Sus scrofa: one gene and its partner. The protein of the gene in region 1 purifies or fractionates together with the protein of each later gene. This does not show direct contact. Links are inferred from orthologs where the notes say so. Each region holds a gene or a part of one and is shown in the gene's direction. Other genes may lie near its edges. The genes, in order: WSB1 and CUL5.

Region 1 (4,610 bases):
TGAATACACTACTCATACTGGCGTGGATATTAAATGGGTTAATCCACAGAAGCCCTTATATGGCACAGTACCTGACCCAATAAATATTAGACAGTATCACTAATGAGTACATAAATCATTAAAATTATTTTTCATTCCATTGTCATACTTTGCCAGTTGAGAAATGGTCTGGAAGTCTGTTGGCTAGCAGTAATAAATTACAATGGAATTAAACAATTGTATGAAAAAGCCACCAAAACAATGCAGGCACTTAAAGAACTGGTATTTCCCATGACTTTGTAACAGTAGATACAGTACATGTGAAGAGAGGAAATAGCAGTTGGTTTAAAGAATCAACAGGGACTGATAGAAATGTTGCTATTGAAGATACTAGACTGCACTATTTTCTTTTGTTCTACTCTAGATATTTGACAACTAGCCTCAGTGTATGGCACAAAGTAAGCCATCAATAAATATGTTGACTGTATGTGACAAAAAAAAAAGGAGAGGGGGATGATTTCTTGTACCTGTTATTAAATATTTCACTATTGGAAGACTTATCCTTATGCAAAGAAAAAGATGAAGAAGTCATGCTGTAGGTGCTGTCATTTGAGATCTCTCGAAAGAGTCTGGCTAGGCACAACTCCTCTCCCATTGGTGTCTGTTGCATATTTGAAATTCCCAGCCTTAGACGTCTTCCTTTGGAACTAGGTTTAATGCCCACAGAAGAACCCATTAAAATGCAAAGATATCGTCTTTGAATGGAACCAACTTGGCTTTTGGCAGATACACACACATTTATCAGCACTGCAGTGTAAATAGCTAGCTGCCTCCCAGAGGCCTAGACCTTGGAAAGCAGCCTTGCAGAATGGGCCGCTTCTAAGCAGACACGGTGGGATCTGCCTCGGCTAGTGGTCAGGACACAGCCGACCGCCAGCCTCGCTGCAGCCTCCGGGCAGGCCGGCTGCAGGGATTAGCCAGGACGAAGGCAGCCCCAGGAGGCCTTGTGGTGGGGCAGGACACCATCCAGCCCAGGTCTCCCCCTTCCTCAAGCCGGGTCACTTCGGCCCTTCCAAAAATCTGCTAGCTCTCATAAGAACGCTCACGGCCGGACATGTGGTACAGAGCGATGTCATCTCATTGTTTTCAACAGTGCCACCCCCAGTTCCCTGCCATTTGAGGGCCGGGGAAGAGGCCAAATAGAATTGAAGTCTGGAATGCCTTTTTTTGTTCTTTTCAGTTCAGTCAGCTTAAATGCCACGCAATCTTTACACTGTGGGCTAACGTGTATTACACAATTCTCTATTTGCCTTTTTAAAGGCGCTTCAAGTTATAAACACCATGCTGGGCCCCCGGCCGAAAAAAGAGACGCAGTTAAAAGCAGTCAGTAGGCTCCAGCCCGGCGTTTGGGCCTGGACTGGGGTCGCACCCCTCCTCTACCGCCCCCGCCCTCTTCCGGCTCCCAGGTCCAGTCCCCAGGACAACGCCCTAGAGCACCCGGCGGGAGGGCGGGGCACCAAGCCTTGGCCGTCACGTCCCGAACGTCGGGAGGCGGGGCATAGCGCTTTTACGTCACCAGACCCCGCCCCGCATCCCTGATATTAACCGCGCCGACCGCCATTTTGTCTCCAGTGTCTCGTTTGCTGTCCGCGGCGTAGAGGGAAGTGTCTGACTCCGTGGGCGTGAGGCAGGGAGCAGGGGCTATTGTTTGTGTTTCACGCCGTAGTTTGGTCCGAGGCCTCCGGAGCTTTCCCGGGGCAGTCGGCAGAAGCCGCCGCGACCGCCCCGCCCCTCCCCTCCGTCCCTGGGACCGGGAGGGACCCAGACCGCGTCACGCCCCTCGGCGCTCAACCTTCCCTTCTCTGTCGTTGCGTCCGCATCGCTTCCCCGGAATCGGACGGTACCCCATAGATGGCCAGCTTTCCCCCGAGGGTCAACGAGAAAGAGATCGGTGAGGAATGGGACGATGGGCGAGGGGTGCCGGTGAGCCCGCGGGAGTTTAGGAGAGGCAGGGACTCTCCCGAGGAGGCTCTGAGTCTGAGGAAGTGGAGTGAGCCTGAGCCAAGCCTTAGAGCGCAGAGGGAAGAAGCGGCCCTGTGAGTGGGTGTCGTTGAGGGTAAATGGGTTCAGCCTTGATGCCGCGCCTACTGTGCGCCGGGCACGGCGGAAGGCAGTGCGCGGATCTTAGAGGCAAAGAGATTCTGGGCGCCGAGTGGAGGGCTGTAGTGATCATGTGGCCCGGGATGGATACACACTCGTGGGGATCCTAGCTGTCTCATCGGAGGTCTGCGCAGGGCTGTTCTGCAGGGATTCTCTTGGCTCGGGGGTTGGGGCCTGGAGTGGGCCGGAGCGGGCTGGGTAAGTCTTCGGGACGCTTACAAGTTTCCAGTGGGGAAAAGTACACTTGTGTGTTCTGAGCTGTTATGAAAGGATGGGTCTTCGTGTATACCAATCACTATAAGGGGAAGTGCAGCCGAAGAGCTGCCTTCAGCCTGGAAAAAGCAATATATATATATATTTTTTTTTTTTTTTTTTAATTGGTGTGGCGTTAAGAAAGGCAGCAGGCGGCTCAGGGGAGGAGTCTCAGTTATCTTTCGTGCACTTAAGAGTTGGGAGGAGCAGGGTGGTTGGGTGGAGTGACCGAAGAAAAGCTCATCTACGGAGGAGCAAACTCTTGAAAAGGCTGTCTAGAAACGCTTAGCGGCCAGCCCTGCCGAGCTGAAAACCGGCTGATAGATGTTGGCGGTCCTGTGTCAGGACGTACCCAGTGGCTCAGTGGAAAACACCTCACATTTTTTTAAGTCCTCTCACAAGGTGAAATAACTGGAACAACTTTGGGGGAAGTTGGGGGTGCTAATCATTGATTGATGTGTTACTAAACATTTAAACTTAGCAAGTCAAGTTATACACCTTATTTAAATATATGCAGTTTTTATTAAAATAGATTTAGCATCTCCCCACCCTTTCTCAAAGCCCAGCACTGAAATTACCGCTGTTAAATAAATGAAAATTGGAGGTAGCTACTGAGCTGAGAGCCTTTGCATTTCCTTATTCTTCAACTAAATGTATGCCTTTATTAAACACTGGCAGGAGGTATTTCCAGAGAAAGGGAGAAACAATAGCTAAAAGGCCCCCTATACTGTATGTTGGTAAATTCTTATATTTAGAGACAGCTATCTTAGAATTCTGGACTTTTGTCCTCTTAGGGATACAGTTGGATGGCAAGTTAGGAGGGGGCTTTAACCCTGGGTTGTTTTTTGTTTGGCTTTTTTGCTTTTTAGGGCCACACCTGCAGCATATGGAAGTTCCCAGGCTAGGAGTCAAACTGGAGCTACAGCTGCCAGCCTATGCCACAGCCATGCCAGATCCCAGCCTTGTCTGTGACCTACACCACAGCTCACAGCAGCAACAGATGCTTTAACCCACTAAGTGGAGCCAGGGTTTGAACCTGTATCCTCATGTTCATTTCTGCTGAGCCACAACAGGAACTCCCGACGCTGTTTTTTGGGGGTTTTTTTTGCTGTTCAGGGCTGCACCTGAAGCATATGGAGGTTCCCAGGCTAGGGGTCTAATCGGAGCTACAGCTGCCGGCCTCCAGGCCTCCACCACAGCAACGCAGGATCCGAGCCTGTCTGCGACCTACACTACAGCTTATGGCAATGCTGGATCCTTACCCACTGAGCGGGGCCAGGGATAGAGCCCGCAACCTCGTGGTTCCTAGTTGGATTCTTTTCCGATGTGCCACGATGAATTCCCTGATCCTGGTTTTAGTAACAGTTTTAAACAGAAAACAAAATTCATGTCCAGTTTTTTTGTTTGTTTTTATGTCACACCTGTGGCATGTGGAAGTCCAGGGATTGAATCTGACCTGCAGCTGTAGCAACGTGAGATCCTTTAACCCACTGCTCCAGGGCCTTGGGATCAAACCTGCACCTCCACAGTGACCTGAGCTGCTGAAGTTGGATTCTTAGCCTGCTGCGCCACAGCAGGAAGTCCTCATGTCCAATTTTTATTTTAACTGTGGGATGTAGAACTCAGAAGTTCTTATTCTCAGTCCAATGGTGTTTTGTTTTCGTACTCACAGTAGTGTCATAGATGAGTGGTCTGCCTTTCATTTATCTGTATTTTACTTCATCTTGAATCATTTTGAAAACTTTCCAGTCCTCTCTTATAAGGGATGGATAGAGCTTCTTAGCATAACTGCATAAGGTAGAACCTATCCATAGGTAGATACCTATCCACTAGGTAGCCTTTTGAATTAAAAAAAATGGGGGCGGTATTTAGGTCTCATTGTTATTTCCTAGATATAGTATAAAGTTACTAGGTAGTCGCCAAATAATCTAAAAGAACTTTGGCCTTTTAAAGGTCGTTTTGTTTTGTTTTTTTAAACAGGTTTTTGTTTCTTTGTTTTTTAAAAAATTATTTGGATACAGAGTTAAACACTACACTGTGTAGTTTGTATCTATCAGTAAGGACTGACTTCCCTTTTTTCTTGGGTATTAATTACAGTTGTTTGGTTCTCATGTACTGAAAGAGGAGGCAAAATTCCATGAATGATTAAAGAAATCTATGCGACAGGGAGTTCCTGCCTAGAGCTACAGCCCTCTTTCACAAGGCACTGCCACAGATCC
Region 2 (3,815 bases), on another chromosome or scaffold:
GGGTAGAACCATTGGCTTTCATGTAAAATTTTATTTCGTTTTAATATAAAATCTCAAAAATTGATGTTTATAGAAATTAAAAGATTATTTGGTTACCATCTCAAATTTGCTAACTTTTAAAGTAGTATGTCAGGACTGGTTATTTTTCAGAGATGGACAGTTTTGTAGGTCACTATCTGTATATGCTGATATGAATTTCTGAAATTTGACAGTTGAGGATATAGAAAATTCTAAATGAGAGTGGTGGTTAAGAGTGTATATAAATGAAAGTAAACTTTGTTTTCTATACAGCTCTTGGTACTTAAATATGTACAAAACAAAGACGTTTTTATGAGATACCACAAAGCTCATTTGACACGCCGTCTTATATTAGACATCTCTGCTGATAGTGAAATTGAAGAGAATATGGTAGAGTGGCTAAGAGTAAGTAAATGTTTAAAAAATATTTGGTTTTCTTAAGATAGTACATGGTTCGTATGTGTGCTTAGGTTTTTGGTGATATTGTTAATGTTGAAATAAAGGAACATTTTATAAGAATATAGTATATTCTTATAAAGTAAGGCATATTATCTTTTTTTTTTTTTTTTTTTTTTTTTTGCTTTTCAGGGCCATTGAAGTTCCCAGGCTAGGGGTCAAATCAGAGCTACAGCTGCTGGCCTACGCCATAGTCACAGCAACACAGGATATGAGCCGAATCTGTGACCTACACCACAGCTTACCTTAGCACTGGATCTGTTGCACCACAATGGGAAATCCTATTACTTTAATAAAGACTTTTTTTTTGGTCTTTTTAGAGGTGCGCCTGGGGCATACGGAGGTTCCCAGGCTAGGTGTTGAATGGGAGCTATAGCTGCCGACCTACACTGTAGGTCACAGTAATGCTGGATCCTTAACCCACTGAGCAAGGCCAGGGATCGAGCCCTTGTCCTCATGGATACTAGTCAGGTTCATTAACCACTGAGCCATGAAGGGAACTCCTTAATAAAGACTTTCAGTAAAGCACCTTTGCTCTTGCTTTGCTTCTCTTGTTTCAGTCTTTTTGTATCTCCACTCTCATTTGAACTGACCTTCTGGACAAATCATTTTTTAGGTGTTTTTTGTACTAAATATTTGTCCATAGAGATATTTGTGAATAGGTACATCTGTAAAGGAAAAGGAACCAATAGGTAAAAAGTGATGGCCTGTTTAGGAGGATCAATGCTAATTAAGACTAAATTCTTATAACAGAATATTTTAAGTCTCTTCCTTTTAGTTCATTTAATGGAATTTGAGTTATATTAGCATAACATCAATGAATATGTCTTTCATTTATTTTTATGGTATTTTATATATAACAAAAACATTGTAATGTGTATAGTTATATGTTATATATATGGTTTTCATTTATATGTATATTTCACATTACAGATTTTCAGAGAGCTCTGCTTTGCATGGTAGTGTGGAATATTAAAAATGACTGTGCAGCTGATCTCAGTATTAATAGTCAGTGGGAACAATTACTGTTTTGTGACTTAAATTTTTTTTTTTTTCTTTTTAGAGCTTCACCCAGGGCATAGGAATGTTCCCTGGCTAGGGGTCAAATTGGAGCTATAGCTGCTGGTCTACACTACAGCCACAGCAACGCCAGATCCAAGCCTTGACTGTGACCTACACCACAGCTCATAGTAATGCCAGATCCTTAACCCACTGGGCAAGGCCAGGGATCAAACCCACATCCTCATGAATACTAGTCAGGTTTGTTACCATTGAGCCACAATGGGAACTCCGTGACTTAGAAATTTTTGTCAAAATATTAAAAACAATTACTATCTGTTGTAAATATAGAAGAAAAGTACACTATAAAACATTCATTTTCAGATTTAAAGTGTTTTATGTCTTTATAAAAAAACTTGGTGGCGTTCCTATTGTGGCTTTGCGTGTTAAGGACCCATTGTTGTCTCTGAGAATGTAGGTTCGATCCCTGGCCTTACTTGGTAGTTTAAGGACCCAGTGTTTCCTTGTAGATTGCGGATGCGCCTCAGATCATGGCTGCGGCATAAGTCTCAGCTATAGCTCTAATTTGACCCCTATCTTGGGAACTTCCATATGCCACAAATGCAGCCATTTAAAAAACAAACAAACAAACAAAAAGAAAAGAGTAGTTAGGAAAATATTTATAATACTTATGTCTGATACTATATCTAGAATATAAAAGAACTCTTTTTTTTTTTTTTAATTGTGTTTATTTATTTATTTTGCTTCTTAGGGCCTCACCTGAGGCATATAGAGGTTCCCAGGCTAGGGGTCGGATCAGAGCTACAGCTGCTGGCCTATGCCATGGCCACAGCAATGCCAGAACCAAGCTGTGTCTGCTACCTACACCACAGCTCATGGCAACGCCAGATTCTTAATCCACCGAGTGAGGCCAGGGATCAAACCCGCAGCCTCATGGTTCCTAGTCAGGCTCCTTAACCACTGAGCCACGAAGGGAACGCCTCTGTTTTATTTTCATTTCCAACATTATTTTCTTCTTTTTTGGGGAGGTATACTTTTATCATCTTTCTTGCCCAGTTACCTCTTTTAGTTATTCATTTTGGTAAAATGTTATGTGGATTTATCCCTCAAAGACATGAATGCAAGAAAATACATGCTTTGCTATCCATAGGTGAGCTGAATAATAAACTGGTAACAGATTTTGAAAGAAGTATTGTGACTGGTGACTGATACGATGTGCCTGTTATTTGTTGATGATTTTTAGATTGAGGAGCTAGAGGTTACATTTGTGCTTTATGTATTACCCTCATTTAATATGTAATGGTAATTGAAAGTTGAAGTGTGTTGTTGGGGGGCCGGTGTTATTTAACTATATTGTGGTAACTGAAATTAATGCATCCTGGATTCATGCACAGAATGCCAGGATTGCCTGAATATTCTGTTTATTTTCTAAGAATAAAATGTAATAGGTATTAGATTATAAACATTCTAATAAATAAAAGAAAAAAATTTATATTAAAACATCTAACACTTAGTTTTACATTATAATTTTTCCTAATAGTTTATCAGATTATGTATTATTTATTACTTCTTCTGTCTTTGGTTTTCATAGGAAGTTGGTATGCCAGCAGATTATGTAAACAAACTTGCTAGAATGTTTCAGGACATAAAAGTATCTGAAGATTTGAACCAAGCTTTTAAGGAAATGCACAAAAATAATAAATTGGCTTTACCAGGTATTATTTTATAATTACATACATTTTTTTTTAACTTTAAAAAAAGAATATCTTTGTTTTCTAGTAAATTAAAAATGTTTAAGGAGTAATAGATATAAAGATATTCAGAGCCCACATTCTTTGACAATATCCTGCAAAGCAGAATTTAGATTTGCTAATTCTTAATTTGAAACAAACAGACACTTTTAAACAAAATCTTTAGTCTTTATTTATTTTTCACCAAACTTACCCTCTGTGTTTGTATTTTAAATTTGATCCATTGTTTTTAAACCAGCTATAATGGAAAAAATAAAAATCATTGTTAAAAAAAATTATCCATTGTCAAGAGTATTGGCTTAATACTTTCTGATCTTCTTTCCTATAGCTGATTCAGTTAATATAAAAATTCTTAATGCTGGTGCCTGGTCAAGAAGTTCTGAAAAAGTCTTTGTCTCACTTCCTACTGAACTGGAGGATTTGATACCTGAAGTAGAAGAATTCTACAAAAAAAATCATAGTGGTAGAAAATTACATTGGCATCATCTCATGTCAAATGGAATTGTAAGTAGATGGTGTGTTGGTTCAGATATTGGTTTGGCTGAAAGTAGCAGGACTCCAAATAAGATT

What was found.
Region 2: the proteins of WSB1 (region 1) and CUL5 purify together in Homo sapiens (affinity purification with mass spectrometry; 4 studies listed by BioGRID and IntAct, counting the BioPlex papers as one, with this or other methods). This does not show direct contact. The link is inferred for Sus scrofa from reciprocal best matches to the Homo sapiens genes WSB1 and CUL5.

Annotation. Positions count from the first base shown.
Region 1 is NC_010454.4:43,883,544-43,888,153, forward strand, and holds the start of WSB1 (WD repeat and SOCS box-containing protein 1), read left to right. Parts: upstream 1-1,571; 5' UTR 1,572-1,890; coding exon 1,891-1,930; intron 1,931-4,610. UniProt on the Homo sapiens protein: Probable substrate-recognition component of a SCF-like ECS (Elongin-Cullin-SOCS-box protein) E3 ubiquitin ligase complex which mediates the ubiquitination and subsequent proteasomal degradation of target proteins.
Region 2 is NC_010451.4:36,492,644-36,496,458, forward strand, and holds part of CUL5 (cullin-5), read left to right. Parts: intron 1-291; coding exon 292-423; intron 424-3,085; coding exon 3,086-3,209; intron 3,210-3,573; coding exon 3,574-3,749; intron 3,750-3,815. UniProt on the Homo sapiens protein: Core component of multiple cullin-5-RING E3 ubiquitin-protein ligase complexes (ECS complexes, also named CRL5 complexes), which mediate the ubiquitination and subsequent proteasomal degradation of target proteins.